Oreochromis niloticus: one gene and its partner. The protein of the gene in region 2 interacts with the protein of the main gene of each other region in a pairwise test. Links are inferred from orthologs where the notes say so. Each region holds a gene or a part of one and is shown on either strand. Other genes may lie near its edges.

The links. The genes of interacting proteins can lie anywhere in the genome.
Region 1: the proteins of zbtb25 (region 2) and sephs1 interact in binary tests that used the Homo sapiens proteins (3 or more experiments, as listed by UniProt). The two-hybrid records come from large-scale screens. The link is inferred for Oreochromis niloticus from reciprocal best matches to the Homo sapiens genes ZBTB25 and SEPHS1.

The regions. Positions count from the first base shown.
Region 1 is NC_031972.2:55,926,560-55,934,100, forward strand, and holds the start of sephs1 (selenide, water dikinase 1), read right to left. Parts: upstream 3,002-7,541; 5' UTR 2,926-3,001; intron 2,901-2,925; exon of another isoform or gene 2,882-2,900; intron 2,764-2,881; 5' UTR 2,675-2,763; intron 1,278-2,674; 5' UTR 1,251-1,277; coding exon 1,155-1,250; intron 1,052-1,154; coding exon 955-1,051; intron 652-954; coding exon 548-651; intron 439-547; coding exon 331-438; intron 1-330. Other genes in the region: bend7 (BEN domain-containing protein 7), read right to left, coding at 4,041-4,099, 4,585-4,626, 4,779-4,892, 4,969-5,086, 5,204-5,311, 5,725-6,071, 6,149-6,268, 6,465-6,818 and 1 more. UniProt on the Homo sapiens protein: Synthesizes selenophosphate from selenide and ATP.
Region 2 is NC_031980.2:25,892,469-25,900,117, reverse strand, and holds the start of zbtb25 (zinc finger and BTB domain-containing protein 25), read right to left. Parts: upstream 3,012-7,649; 5' UTR 2,902-3,011; coding exon 2,856-2,901; intron 2,824-2,855; exon of another isoform or gene 2,715-2,823; intron 1,860-2,714; coding exon 1,679-1,859; intron 381-1,678; coding exon 1-380. UniProt on the Homo sapiens protein: May be involved in transcriptional regulation.

The DNA of each region.
Region 1 (7,541 bases), on a different chromosome or scaffold from region 2:
GAAACTGAGACTACAGTTACACAAATTCACCAAAACAGGGCAACTGAAGACTGGAAAAATGTTGCCTGGTCTGATGAGTCTCAATTTGTGGTGCCACACTTGGATGATAAAAGTCAAAATTTGGATGGATTTTTGGATGTGCATCCAACAAATCTGCAGCAACTGTGTGAAGCCATCATGTCAATATAGACCAAAATCTCCCAAGAAATGTTTTCAGCACTTTGGTGAATCTCGAAGAATTAAAACATTTGCGAAGCCAATAGGATGTCTAACCCGGTACTAGTAAAGTGTCCAGCAAGTGTACCTTCATTTAAGCAAGATGTGTCTTACTTTCTCTGACATTTTGTTGCTGACTCCCAGAAGCATCAACATGTTATCACACTCAGTAACTCCCATGGCGTACAGGTCACTTAGAACATTGGCACAAGCAATTCTTCCCTATAGAAAAGAGATCATGAAAATTAATCACATACAGGTTTGGTATGCAAAGTAATTTAATGAAAGAAAACCAGAAAAACAATGCTAATGAAGAAGGGAAGGTACTTACCATCATGTAAGGGTCATCCACAATGGGATAGATGTAGTCTGTTGTCTGGACAAGAGAAAGGCCACCATGCCGGAGGGGGATCACACATGTGTCCATGCCGATGCCTTCATAAAGAAAATCTCTCTTAATGAAATATTTTAGAGTGTGTGCACTTGTGACCTGTCCATTTTAAAGCCAAGGGTCAAGTTTCACTTCTTGCCTTTAATTTCTGAGCACCAGTGGAGGTGGGACAAGCTTTAAATATACAACACGGTTTCCAGTCCGGCCACAAAACTTGTTTTAACCTCAAACAATGACTTCTGTTTCACTTTGAAAAGAGCCCCAACATGATCTCTCTGCTATGCTTAAAAAAAAAAGGGGGGGGGGCAAGCACTGCTATTCATGTGCTATATGAGTTTAAGAATTACCTAATCGAGGCATAACCGCCCCCAGGAACTGTTCATCCTCTTGATAGTGGTTCTCTTGCAGAGTTTCTAGCAGCTTCTGTAACACATCTTGGGGGACCTGTGATTAGAGAAAATTACCACAATTTCGATGCATTATTTCCTCACTAATCTGTGCAAAGAAAATAACACATTCAAGGCAGATTTTTGTGTGGACAGCTAACCTTGCAGCCTGTGCCTTTGAGCTCAGCAAACCGCGTGAGCCTGAAGTTCTTGTCCAGCTCATAGCTTTCAGGGTTAAAAGACTCCCTCACAGACATATCTGAAGAAGCTCTGGGTCCGCACCACTAGAACCACATCAATGATTATGAAAAATAAATAAAACTGGTGATTACAAACAGTGTCTGGGTGTGTCAAGAAAATACATGCAAATGTTAAGTTGCACAAATGACACAACACAACAGTGCAACATTTCAAGTGAATCGGAGCCAAGTACAACATCTGTAGGAGCAACGCTGGAAAGAATAAATCAACCAAAATAATGCAATGGCATCTCTTTTGCTGCAATGATAGAAATCTTCCGCGGTGAAGTGACATTTAATATTGTCCCGGAGCTCTGTTGACAAAATATTAGGAACACCTAAGTACATTAGAAATTACCACTATAAACATGACTCAAAGATCAGTGTGATATTATTGCAGGCGTGTTGTATTTTGTGATTGAAACAAGTTTGCAAATAAATAATAAAAACTGCATGGTGATTTTAATGCACAGCTGTTATTAAATGTTTTTAATTTGTTAAATACTAGTTTTTATAATTATTTTATTCTCTTTTTTTTGAAGGCAACGGGGTGTCGGATACTTTTAAAATTGAAATGCACAATAATGAATGTGGCATCACCTAAATGGCTTTTCCCCCCATACTCTCCAATCACTGAAAATGTAATAAACTTTTGTGTTCCTAAAAATAAGTTCCATATAGTTGATAAAACTGAAACGCCGTGCAAGTTGGGTGTTACTTATAATCTTGGTTTTTAACATAAACCGGCGTGAGCTGCTGAAGGGGGCCCGTTACTGGTATAGTGGGGTAGTGTTCAAGACAAGCAATGATCCCAAGTTCATTCAACCCTTGGGCACAGGCTAACAATAAAAGTAATGATGTGTGAGTGATTCCGTGTGATGTGAGCGGCATAACACACTGTCGGTAGCTCAGCTTTAAGACACGTGCGTTGATAATGACAGCTACACCCTCTACGTCTGTTTGTTTTGCTGAAAATGCAGTTTTGGCTGCTGCTGCTGCTGCTAGCTCTTGCTAGCAAACGCTGCTACATGCAGGAGCCATTGAACAGCTCTGTGTAACAAAGAGCCGATGAGCAGCCCACTCCAAGACCTGCCGCACATCTAAAAACAGATAAGATGCACACTGCGACCTAAACGTGACGCGTAGCGTTGAGTCGCAGTGTCAGCTCGTAGCACATGTAAGTTAAGAAGTTGCCGTAGACCGCCGAACAAAAATGTCGGCGGCGGAAAAAATTAACCCTTTCCTGTCCCTCGCCATGCGATGTGTGCAACATCAGCGTCAACGCGAATAAAACCGCGCTGCACCTGCTACGTGTGCAAACTTTGTAACGCTGCGGTGCAATAGAAGTGTTTACAACTGCTCTAGATGTGATTTTAGGACCAAAGCGGAGGTATATTCTTGCAACATTTCCCCTTTAATTGCTCTGACCATTTTATCCTTACCAGATTCACGTTAGCGGCGGATCCCGACAGAAGAGCGGGGAAGGCACCAGCATGCACCGGGGCTACAAACGGCTGCCCTGCGAGAAAGCCTGACGAAAAGTGACACATATTTGACTTCTAACATCGGTCCAGGCGAATAAAACTGTCGAAGTATCGCGAGTAATTAAGCATATTGTGTTTAAAAAAATGTATCCAACCTCTGCTCACCTTTATAAAAAATGTGTGACTTAGAATGCAAGAAGGAAACTAACCAGATCTCAAAGGGTCCTCCTTCTGCACACTGGCGGCTTCAACATCCCCTTTAATGAGCTGTGAAGTCTGGCAACAAAATCTCAACAATGGAGTGTACCTTTAATTTACTGTTTCCCTCCAAGTGCAACTACAGCAACACAACATTGCCTGGCTCAAAGTTACCCTAATAAAAGATAAAAGAACTTTTATTTTATTATTTTTAGCTTATGTTTTAATAACAATTAGCCTAAATTTGAAACTTTTCTTTTAACATATTTGAGTGCTTTGTTTTGGTAATTATACTTTCCACAATATATTAAAAAAATAAAACACGAACAGCAACTTTGGATAAAGTAGATTTAATGGTGGGATCAACTTTTTTTTTTAAATATATGTACAGTTAGCAAAAATGAAAGGAAAATACATAATGCCATCACAATATTGACACCAGCTGCAGTGGTATGCATAGCCTAAAAATCTAATAAAGAAAAAAAAAACATTTATAGTGTGTGATATATTTTTATATGTTCACCAAATGTAGACTGCAAACCTATTGTTAATTTGCAGATTTTTTTTAATGAGTTAAAATTTGCCCCAAAAAGAAATACATCGGACCATGTTTACAAGATGTTTGCATTTGGATGTAATGTCAGGATATAAGGTGGATGCTGCACTGCACATTAAACCCACTAAAGTTACTTGAAAGGCACAATTCACAATGAACAGCTTCCCGTGACGTTTAGTTTTTGCTAAATAAATGAACGCAATACTGTTATAGTACTTAGTCTCATTTGAGATGTTTGATCTTTATTTAATTGCATGAAAATAAAACAAGTTAGCTTTTAAGGCTGTTGTCTTTTATGTAAACAGTAAGTGACCGATCTCATTACCTAACCGCTGTATAGTTCAGTGTTTATTTTCACAAAATTCCAAATCTCAGCGTTTTAATGTGGCCCCAATGAAAAGCCTTTTGGATCACAAATACTGCATTGGGATTCTTGTTTGGTCATATTTTATGTCTCTTTACATCCATAGCACATAGCAGTTAACAGCTGCAAATAGTGGCAAAATGCATCAACTCAGAGAAATAATGAAGACAAGACTCTACTGTAAGGTCATCGTGGCAGCCATTGGATTAACCAGTTGTGTTCGCTGCTGTCCTCTCTTCACTTGCAGCCTGTTTATTATCACAGCCTTTAAAAGAAGGAAGAAAATATTGTCAAAATGATATATATTATCACCAAAAAGATGTCTTAATGAATGAGCATGGCAACAAAATGAAATACTATTGTGACAATGAGGGTGAAATATAGAGGTGAAAGAGTGGATATGCGGCATGGTGTGAGGATAATTAGCTGACATTTTGGAAAGCTGCATGAAAATGTCAAAAGTCACTGTGACAGCATGACAAAGACCGATGAGCCAATGAGCGAGCTGGCAACACCAGCTTGAGTGTGTGTGTGTGTGTATGCTGTGACAATGATGTGGGGAGAGGTAAAGCCATTGTGTACTCAGAGGGGGGCTGATGGAAAGATTTTGTAAGATGGAGGGCTGACATGAAGGGAACCAGCTACCAGAAAATGGTCAAAACAGACAACTGAATTAATGTATGTGTCTGTGTGTGTGCCCACGTGTGGCAGACACCTTAAGTGTAAAAATCATAATAATGAGTTTAATACTTGTGGATGGTCCATTTGAGATGTCTTCTGCTTCTACAGCATCTGAAGAGCCAAAGACAACATAGATTGACAGACAGCCTTTTCTTTAGCCTTGAAATGAGCTGGCTTATAAGTACTGTTAAAGGAATGGGCTTCCTCTAGCACATTAATCAAGGGAAAATATTAAAATGATTTAAATGATTTAGCAGCAGAACCTCTTTTCAGCCTCCTCCTTGCAAGTTTGATCTGATCTTGAAGGATCTGAACCCAGTCTCGTGGTCCAGGCAACTTCTCTATTTTGTGTTCAGTGCAGTATTTCTCTGTAAAAACTGGACACACACCATAGTTACATTAATGTTTGCTCAGAAATGTAGTTACACTTTAGTTTGTCTTTCTCTGCCCTACCTTTAATGGCACCCACAATGTTCTGGTCCAAGCCCTTACGGTTATCATTTAGCCCTCTCTTCCTTTTGCCATTTGGCAAGGAGTTAGCCAGCGTGGCGTCATCAAAGAAGGCACACACCTAAACACACAGCACAGCTCTTGACCAAGCAGCATTTTTTGTTCTTTGTTGACATTTCACACGATTATAAAATAATCAGAGCAGGAGAAAATGCTTTTAAAAATCATAGACGTGCACCAGTTTCCGGAACAGCAGGCTGCCTGAGCGTGTATAGTTGACCAGAATGGAGTCTAGCTGGGCCTTAGAGATAAACACGTCATAATCCTCTGCAAGACGCACCTCAGACTGTGAAGGAGTCAAGCAACACAGAGTGTTAATTGTAAAGGATTAAATAAATATCACCAGTTGAAATATAAATGAGTTTTTAGAAAGAAAAAGCAAGAAGACGTTATCTTCATTTCTAGCATTAGCTCGAATCATAGATGTGCTGTAAAATAAACCGCAATGTTTGCACAAAGGTTTATGTCTCATTAGGCAAAAAACAAGGAAAAATCAAGGTACTTAAACTTTTTTTTAGGCATGGAGCTTCACAAAAGAAGCAAAGTTTAGGCTGCAAATTATTTTTACATGCAAATACACATACACGTTCAAATTCATAAGACAGGTGCAGTGTACCTGAATCAAATTAAGCATGCAAATGAGGCTTGGTAAGCACACATGTTGCTGCATATGTACATCCACACTAAGGTACAGATTACCTCTAATGCTTGTGATTCCCTTAGTTGGTTCAGGAGAGGAGGGGTGTTGTTGATCGTCACTGGGTTGGTCTGAGGTGGCGGCACAGGAATGTCAGAGGAGATGGGATGATTGTTGGGTGTAGATGAGTCTTGTTTCTCACATTCTCGCCTCTTTACAGATTCCATAGGTGCAGCTTTTAGCAGTGATGCATCCAGAGGAGCAAGACCAGCTCTTCTGGTGCTAAACACGGATAACGGAGTCATCCTATAGATTGGCCTCCTCTTTCGAGGTCTGTGGCGAGGACTGGGTCCTGCACCTAGGCGAGGTTGAGATGGTGGTGCTGCCCTTTCCTGCCTTTCTAAAGATGCTATTAAAAGGCAGAAAAACATTATATTGTGTTTTATTTCTTTATTTTAGGGTGTGTATTGGTATTCATTTACTAACCTTTTTGAGTCTGCATCAACCTCCTCATGGCACGTAGTTCCTGCAAAATAGCCTGCAAGGTGCCCTTACAGTTACACATACAGCAGGGGGTTTCTGGCACAGTAGGAGGAACTACATCTGCTGGGAAATGAGGGATGCATTTGTTAGCGCTCGTTCACTCTAACATATGCACACAGGTGCAAACATGCTTTAATGTAACAACAAAGGTGTAAGCCACTTCTGGTGTTCAGCACTCAATATTTAATGAAATTCACTATTCTTCAAATAACTTAAGGTTTGTTTAGTAGTTTTCTCCTTTCAAACATGCATATCCTACCATTAGTTTCATTCACTTTGATTAAATCCTTTGTGCTGTTGAGAATCCTGAGGGCTCTGGAGCGTGTGCTGTACTGGCCGCAGCCTGGGCCGTTTGGGACTGGGATGGATATGGATGAAGGTGAAGGCCCTGGGTCCTCTGCAGAGTTCCAGCTGTTGCTCTGGTGGTCCTCTGACACCAGAGATAAAAGTGCAGGCTGATTTACCCAGTTCAGAGGCTTTTCCTGGGGCTCCTTTATTAAGCTATCCTGCTCTGTACCAGCACGCTGGTATACTCTGCTGGTCTTATCGCTCAGAAGCCTCATCATTCCTGTGATTTGTCTTTTGATCTCCATGCCCTCATCCTCCAGCCAAACTACATTAAGAGAGAATGGTGCTCATGTAATTACCGACATCTTGTATGATATATAATCAAAATTCATTCTCTGAATCCCACATACCATCAGACATAACACCATCCTTTGGCTCCCCATTGGCATCTTTGGAGCTGGAGTTAATCACATATGAAGGCTCGAAATCTGCAAAGAAAAAAAAAAAAAGAATGGTTTCGTTATGAAGCACAGCTGTAAAGAAACGCAACAAAACCTTGGTGACAGATGTCATAGAATGATATTGCGGCCTTTTGCCTTCTAAGGTTGAAGCTTGTGCGGGCTAATGAGCTGTGATGCCTGCCAAAGCAGAACCCTCCACCTCACCCCCACCCCATCCCATGCAAAAACCACCACCTGTAGGTGGTATGAAGTAGTGTAGTCAAGAGAGGTGGTGTGTTCCTTACAGCTTAAGCAAAAAGTGCACAGTTGAAGCTCCTTGTTACGAGCTCAGAGTGCGCAATATATTTTCACATTTTATTCAATTTGCTTACTTAATTCAGTCTTAAAAATCTACCCGGAATGAGACGCGTTCAGACTGATGTCCAGGATGTTTCTTTTATTTTCTTTTACATGCAAGATGTGAATCCCTAGAGTTAGCTGCTGGTTAAAACCGAAGCACAGACTGGGCATTGTCGCGGCTATCGCTTTTGTTTACAGAGTCGTCTCTGCTGGCGCACAGCGCCAGACAAACACCCAGACACAGACGC
Region 2 (7,649 bases):
GATGGTCCGACGATACCCCCTCGAGTCCGACAGCAAGGGACAGCTGGGAGTGAGACCGGGCCCCTCGGTCAGAGGATCGCCCATCCTCGGCCCCGCGGGACACCGTGGTGGTCTTGGGGACTCCGGGTCCCTCCTTGCTGGCCAGCTGGGAAGAGATCTGAATGCCATAGAGGTTGGACATGCGGACCACGTTGTTGGCAGTCTCAGCAGCACCCTCTCCAGTTTTGCGGCACAGCTGGTAGGCGTGAAGGAACTTAATGCCCTCCTGCAGCCGGCTGTGGTCCACCGGCTGTTTGGGACACATACCGGTGTACATGATGTGCAGAAGATAGCTGAAGACGTCCGGCTGGATGTCCGTGGGCTGGATCTTTATACACTCGCTGGGGACACAGAGAGACATGAGGTCAGCACCTCGGAAAAAAAACAGCATGTGCATCCTGATGTTTTGGACCGATATTCTCCTGAAGGTTTGGACCAAAGTTTTGTCCCTCTATTCTGGATCACAGGATCCAGATCCTGGAATAAAGGAACAAACACCGGTACAAGCCTTCAGCATTATTCTAGCCTTAAACACATTTTAGGGCTGATCAATCATATTTGGATTTTAATTACCTTTTGATTGTTTCTTAAAAATTATGAAAACAAAATAATTGGGATAAAACATTAAATTTCATTCATTATTTTTTTGTTGTGTTATAAATCAAACACACCGCTGTTCATCTAAAAGCTAAGGCCAAATAAACTGTCCTCACATGTCCTCACAGTGCATCTGTTTGTAGCTGACAGCTAGCCACTGGTTGACCAGTCAAGCTCCAAGTTTGTAGTTAACGCTAACATTCGGTTTGGTTGTGGAGAGCAAATCCAATCCTGAGCTGTCTTTCTCATGGCTAATCTTAGCTAACACTAACGCGCCTGCCAACAAGCAGTAGAATCCTGTCTTTAATGGATAAGGTTGGCCAGTTCATCCAAACTCCCTAGGCTGAACTATTTGCAGCTGCATGGTTTCAGACAAGCGAACCCTCTTTGGATTCATGCTGCACTGCTAACTCACAGCTAGCTGGCTAACAGCAGGTCGTCTGGTAACGTTTTCATGACAGGATCGACGCAGAGACTGTCACCGGCTGGTTAGTGAAGTCCTTTTCATCACTCCCGTCACAATGACAGCAAGCGGCAGATCTGACTGAAGAACGTACGTTTAGCACGCCCTAGATCAGGGGTCCCCAATCCCAGTCCACGAGAGCCGGTGTCCCTGCAGGTTTTAAATCTCACCCTGGGTCAACACACCTGAATCACAGGATTAGTCCATTACCAGGCCTCTGGAGAACTTCAAGACATGTCAAGGTAATGTATCCATGTAAATCAGCTGTGATGGATCAAGGACACATCTAAAACTCGCAGGGACACCGGCCCTTGTGGAGTGGGATTAGGGACCCCTGCCCTAGATAATCCTCCTCTCTGACCTGGAACCCAAGCTGGTTGAGGAAGCCAACAAATTTATCAGGACAAAGGATTCGAGCATCAGAGGAGTCACCACCTGATGGGGATTTAAAAGAATTCAGGTTCTCAGAAAACATGCCCATTTTTATACTGTCTGTACTTGTGTGATGACCCAAAGCACAGGTGTATAACTAACTTCTACTCAGGTACAGAGTTCAAATGCCGCTGTTCCACCCCTCACCTGGACTGGTGGATGAAGATCATCTTGAAGTAGTTGGAGAAGGCGGCTAGCACAGCGCGGTGAGCTTTGAAGTAGACGTTTCCAATGGCAACGGTGCAGTCACACAGGAAACCGAATTCCCTCTGCACGTTGAGCTGCTGCAGCAGGAAGAGGCTGTGCGACGACACCTCCATGACCCCGTCTGAAACACAAACCCGAGCCCAACAAGTTCACACTCGGACTTCAGTCTGGGCGGTTTGTGGTTCCTCACACACTCTGACCTCCATCATCACTGCACACACGCATACATTTAACATACACACTTATTAATGTGCGACAGGATGGAGGATGTCTTGAAGAAATTCAGAGAAGGTTGGAGGAACTTCACTGTGACACCGAAGCAGAGGAGCAGCTGTGGTGATAGAAGATGATATATATATCTCTAGTCGGTCAAGTCCATTGCTGCTGCTGTGTTACCGATAATCCTGTTGCTTTAGCTCAGTAAGTACTTAACGTGTAAGTGCTGAATAACGCCACAAGGTAGAGCCCTCCTGATTCTCGTGCACTGTGGTTGGTCGATGTTGTAGAACAGAGCGTGGGTGCAGGTTCATTCACTAAAAGAGCTGATGAAGCTCCTCTGTTTGAGGAGGAGCCTCTTCTACCGCTCACTGCTGGAGCGTCTGGGGGACATCAGAGGAACTGCAGCTCCTACAGGGGCGCACGCATGCCACTGTCTGGGTTCCTTGCACTTTGAAAAAAAATCCACTTTAAGTAACTGTGTTGTCTTTAGTTGTGCTGACGTGGGAGTTTCCAATTTCATTGTACTATTGTACAAGGTATGAGTGTGCAATGACAATAAAGAGTTATCTTATCTTCAGCAACTCTCTCACACACACACGCACACACACTCAGAAACACAAATCACACACACATGCACACTTTCACACACACAGGCACACAGACACACAAACACAGAGCAGGGTTTCACATTCAGACCTGAAAAACTCTTAAGGTGTCGTTTAACCCTGTGACGTCACATTAAGTCTGTCAGGCTTACTTGGAGACGCCACCTCTGACCTCAGTGAAGGTCACCTGCACCTGACACACACGTACGCATGCACGGGGAGGGGCGGGGTGTTCACATCGAACTGACCCGACCACACCGGAAACCGGACACCCGCGCGACCCAGTCACACACCAGCTCTGCGCGTGCACGTGCCGTCGCGCCCGCCGCCGCGCAGCATCCTCCATCCTTCATCTCATTCACCACACGCACGTCCTCATCACCTCCGCACACACGCGCACACGGGCGCGTGTTCACGCTCCCACCGCCCGGCAATCCCGTGTTCGCGCGGGTCCTGCACGCGCGCCGTTAATGAGCGCCTTACCGCAGAAACGAGCAGATCGTCTTCAGAATCGGAGCCGATTTGTTGCTGCAGAGGATCTCGCGACGAGCCGCGTCACCTCTCGCGAGAACATGGGTCAAATGGGGCGGTCACGTGAGCCGTCAGAAACGTTCGAAGGCTGATCAGTAATTTAATAAACGCGGAGCAGGAAAGATGACGTCATCGTGCCATCAATAATTTTCTGAAAAAAAAGTGAAACCGATCAGAGGCTGTCAGCCAGCAGCATAAGACCCCGACACCGTGCAGGGGGCACGATCACGTGACACAACACACACCGACACCGTGCAGCAGACAGACTCACAAACACGCCTCAGCTCTGCAGCTCAGGGACTAAACCCCATCATATTCCGTCTAATCTGAAACTCAGAGTATTCTCAGAGTAATCTGAGTTTAAGGCACATATGTGTACACCTGGTTGTTTCACAGCTGGGCCACTGTACCTCGATTGGTGACTGAAGTGACTCATAACCTGTGTAAATATGTTTTCTTAGGCTGGTGTTCACTGAGATGATCAGCAGTACTGATTATTACTGACCACAGCGGGTATGCTGTGAGGTGTGGTCCACATTCCTGGCAGTGAGTGGGACACGGTGGGTGCTGGGCTCCGCCTAGGACGCCCTTTGTCACCGATGATGGGCAGATTATCTGGGCGTTGCCAGCATCTTGTCTCTGAATTTTGCAGATGATGTGGTACTGTTGGCTTCATCAGGTGCTGCCTCCAAATCGCAGGCTACTTTGAAACAGACGGACTGGTGCTGCAGCTGCAGTGATGAGATCGTTCAGGTATGGGCCACCTCGTATATGATTGATGGGTGGACGAAACAGAGTGAGACGTTGCTGCTTCTTCAGGCGGAGTCTCCTGCTCAGCTCAGAGTGAGACCTCCTTGCTGCTCTCTGACTGAATGTGGGTGGCGGGAGGCCTCACGCAAGCCTACAAGCGAGAGAGAAAACAAATAAGTTCTTCCGGTTATTATTTTCAAAATAAAAGCAGACTTTGTTTCCTGTGGTCGTTTTCAATGAAGACAAAATTCTGACACTATTTATTTAACTGTGAAAGGCCCCGTCCAAGCCAGAAACGTATATTTATTATGATTTAATGCCCACCTGTGAACTGCTGCTTGTTGCAGTTAAACATGTCCCGCTGGGTTAAAGTTCTTAAATTTTTTATTACAACTTCAGTATCTGTGACGCAGGTTTTCTGTGTGTGGCTGGTGGGTTGAGCAGATACAGTTTTTCATTTTACTTTTTTTTTTATTTTCACTGTGCGACACATTCCCACACGTTCCCATGGTGTCAGCTTAGTTGCACGGAGTTTAAACGAACCATCAAGGCAGAAACTTATTTTTGAAACGTTAAAACTTTATTTAACTTTATTTTGAAGGGCCCCACTCTGACCGGAAGTTCCTTATTTGGACTTCCTCGCTATGTGCGGCTTGACGGCGCGGCGGGCTTTGCGGAAGTGCTTTCATCCTGCGGGAGGAGAAGAAGAAGAAGAGGCTGCTCCTTCGTCTCCACAGCAAACCGTCCGCGGAGGACCCTTCGGAGCCCGGGAACCCCACAGCAGCAGCCCCTCCGCCGGCCTCCGGGACCCACGGTGAGTGGACGGGCCCGTGCCCGGGCTTCGTGGCCGCCTGGGCGGCAGGCGGTGAAGGAAATGCTCGCGGCCTGCTCTCGGTGCTGAATGCGGGTGGCAGTGCGGGGGCGGCGGGGCTGTTTGCGGGAGAGAGAGCGCTCAGTAAACGCCCGGTTTTATTCGCATCACATCCGGTGGCTACTTTCAAAATATAAGTCGTAACGAATAGTTTTGAGCTTTGAAGCATCCGGAGGAGCTCCGGGTTCACTGACGGTCCCTCGGGGAATGTCTGACTGTCACTGAGACGCGCTGTGATGCACGCGGTGCCCTGACGGTGGTCTCGCTCACTCCTCGTCACGCTTTGTGTTTTCATTTTGGAGGAGCGATCACCGTAACTTCCGGTGTGGACCACGCTAACAGGGGTTAGCTTGGAGCAGCTAATCTCTGCCGAGCTGTAATCTCCATTTTAGCTCGGCGGTGTGGCCGGCCTCTCCCTCCGGTCTTTCCACGGGCTCGCTCCCACTTCGGTGGCTCCTTCGCGGCCTGTCTGCCGGTGACTGACAGCCCGCACCGCGTGCCTGCGGGCCCGGAGGGGACTTAGAGTAAACAGGATGGGGGCTCTGATTTGAGTGGTTTTTACAGTGGAGTCTGGTGACAGAGGCCAGATTTATTTTATCCACCCTTCACAGTGATCACATTATTATTTTTATTGATTACTGATCAGTAGAGTAGGTAGGTTTCTGACCTGTGACCTTTAACCTCACAAAGCTCAAACACACCTGACAGCAGACACATCAGATATGAACCTAGACTGTCACGTGTCGGCTGATAAATTGAGCCCTGAGACCTTCCTGTGAACAGCAACCAGCTGATCAGAGTGTAAATGACTTGTTCTGGTAATAACATGATTAAGGCATACTCTTCTTATTAATAACTCGTGAAAAACTGCATATCACAATTGACCTGAAAGTGGGGAAAAAACAATGTGTCAGCATTTAAAATTGTAAACTCTGAGCTGGGCTGTGATTAGAAACTGAGGATTTAACCAGCCTGAACATTTTAAGGTATTCTTAAAATCCTATCTGCATATTTCTGGAAAAGTGTGATGATGATGATGATGAAGTTTATGATGGGATATAAAAAGGTCATTCCCTAATTTAATGTAACTGCAGCAGCTGCACGGCGCCGTCACATCTTTAACAGCTGATCAAAGTCCTGCTTTTCCACTGTGTAACCTCATCACAAGCTCACTCCACTGCTGGCTCTTACTGTCACATGGCGTGTAGGCAGCGGTGTCTGGGGACTCGTGTGGAGGTGCATTCTATGTCTGTGTCATCCGTTTGCAGGATTAGGTTTCTTGTAGGTTTTGTTGGAGGAGCTCAGTTTTGGCTTTAAATCAGCGGGACCACCCCGAACTCTGAACTGATCTTACGTCACATCATGTGATCAAAGAGCCCATCCATTTCAGAATACAATGCCATCCCAAGCCTCGTCTGAGAGGCAGAACTCAGTTTGGAAATCAGTCACTTGACCGTCTGTAATGGAGTCAGACGCTCATCAATTCATATTCTACTGGAACATTTTGGCTCGTTGATCTCACATGATGACCTCACTTCCTGAAGTCATGTGTCAGTTTGCAAGGCCACCACCGATATCCAGAGGACCGCTGAGTGTTCTTGCCTTGCTGTCGCAGTGAAGCATGATTCATGTATCTATTAGGCGCTCTGCAGCCTAATAGATGTAGAGCACGGAGATGCAGGGCACTAGTTGGCGCAGGAGATTTTGCCAGTCGATTTTCTTGAATCAGGAATTGTGTGAGGCAGAAGAAGTTGGAAACAGCTGCACCGATCACACTCATCATGGGCTGCGTCGATGTGTAGTTGCATTTGTCAGGATTCGTCATGCTATGGCGTAGATTTAACGCAGAAACACGTGACTGATGGTGGTCAGCTGACACTAAATGTTTAAAAATCTGAAAGAGGCGAGTCTTCTGATTGCACCTGAGGCAGGTGAGCTCCCTCACAGCTGGTTTTATGTTGTTCTGCTGCTATGGCTTTCAGGACTCTCTTTCTCACACACACACACACACACACACACACACACACACACACACACACACACACACACACGGGCAGTGATGCTACTTTGCCACTGATCTCTTACCAGGCGCGACGCTCTGAGGCGCTGTGGGATCAGCTGACATGACACAAAGACAGAAAACTTAAGCTGGTCAAAAGTGTACTCTGTGTGAACTTTACCTGTGAGCACAGCCAGGCGAACCATCAGTGGAACCGGGGAGGGATGGCAGCTCAGTTCACGCAGACGGGACAACATCGCTGAAAATAAAAACATGTCAAAATTTTAAGTGAATCCAATCAGATGTGAATCACTGTTCAGCTCAGGTGACGGGAGGAAACGTCTTGCTCTGATTACATGCCATTTTGACACAGGAAGTGACATCTTCTGATGGGTTTCAGTGTCTCCAAGCAGCAGCGGGGCAGGGGGAGGTGGGGCAGTGAAGGTACATGTCTAACAAAAAGCTCCAGTTCTGAAGAACAGGACCGGGTTCACTTCACGGTGCTGAAAACAGCATGCGACCAGTTTTCTCCTGCAGCACAGAAACCTGTTTTTAGCTCCGCCCGCATCTGGCATCGCTGCAGATGTTATTGGCGCAGACCCGCCGATGAGGGCTCGGGTAACCAGCAAGCAGAGAACTCTCTCAGAGAGCGGTTTGGCCCAGACGTGCCCTGCATCTGCAGTTTCCTGCAGAGTCCACCTTAAAGATCCAGATTTGTTGGGTGTGTCAGGCACATCTGGCTCACAGTTTACTGTAACCTGGTCCACAGGACGTCTGCTGTGAACTCTCCAGATGTTGCTGGGGCCAGGGTGGACCTTTATTTAGGCAGTAACTTGGGGTGTGTACAGGTATACTTGTCCTGCAGCACAAACGCATCTGTCACATAACAGGGAAGGTGTGGGGGGGGTGTCACTTCCTGTGAGAATAGCCAACGGG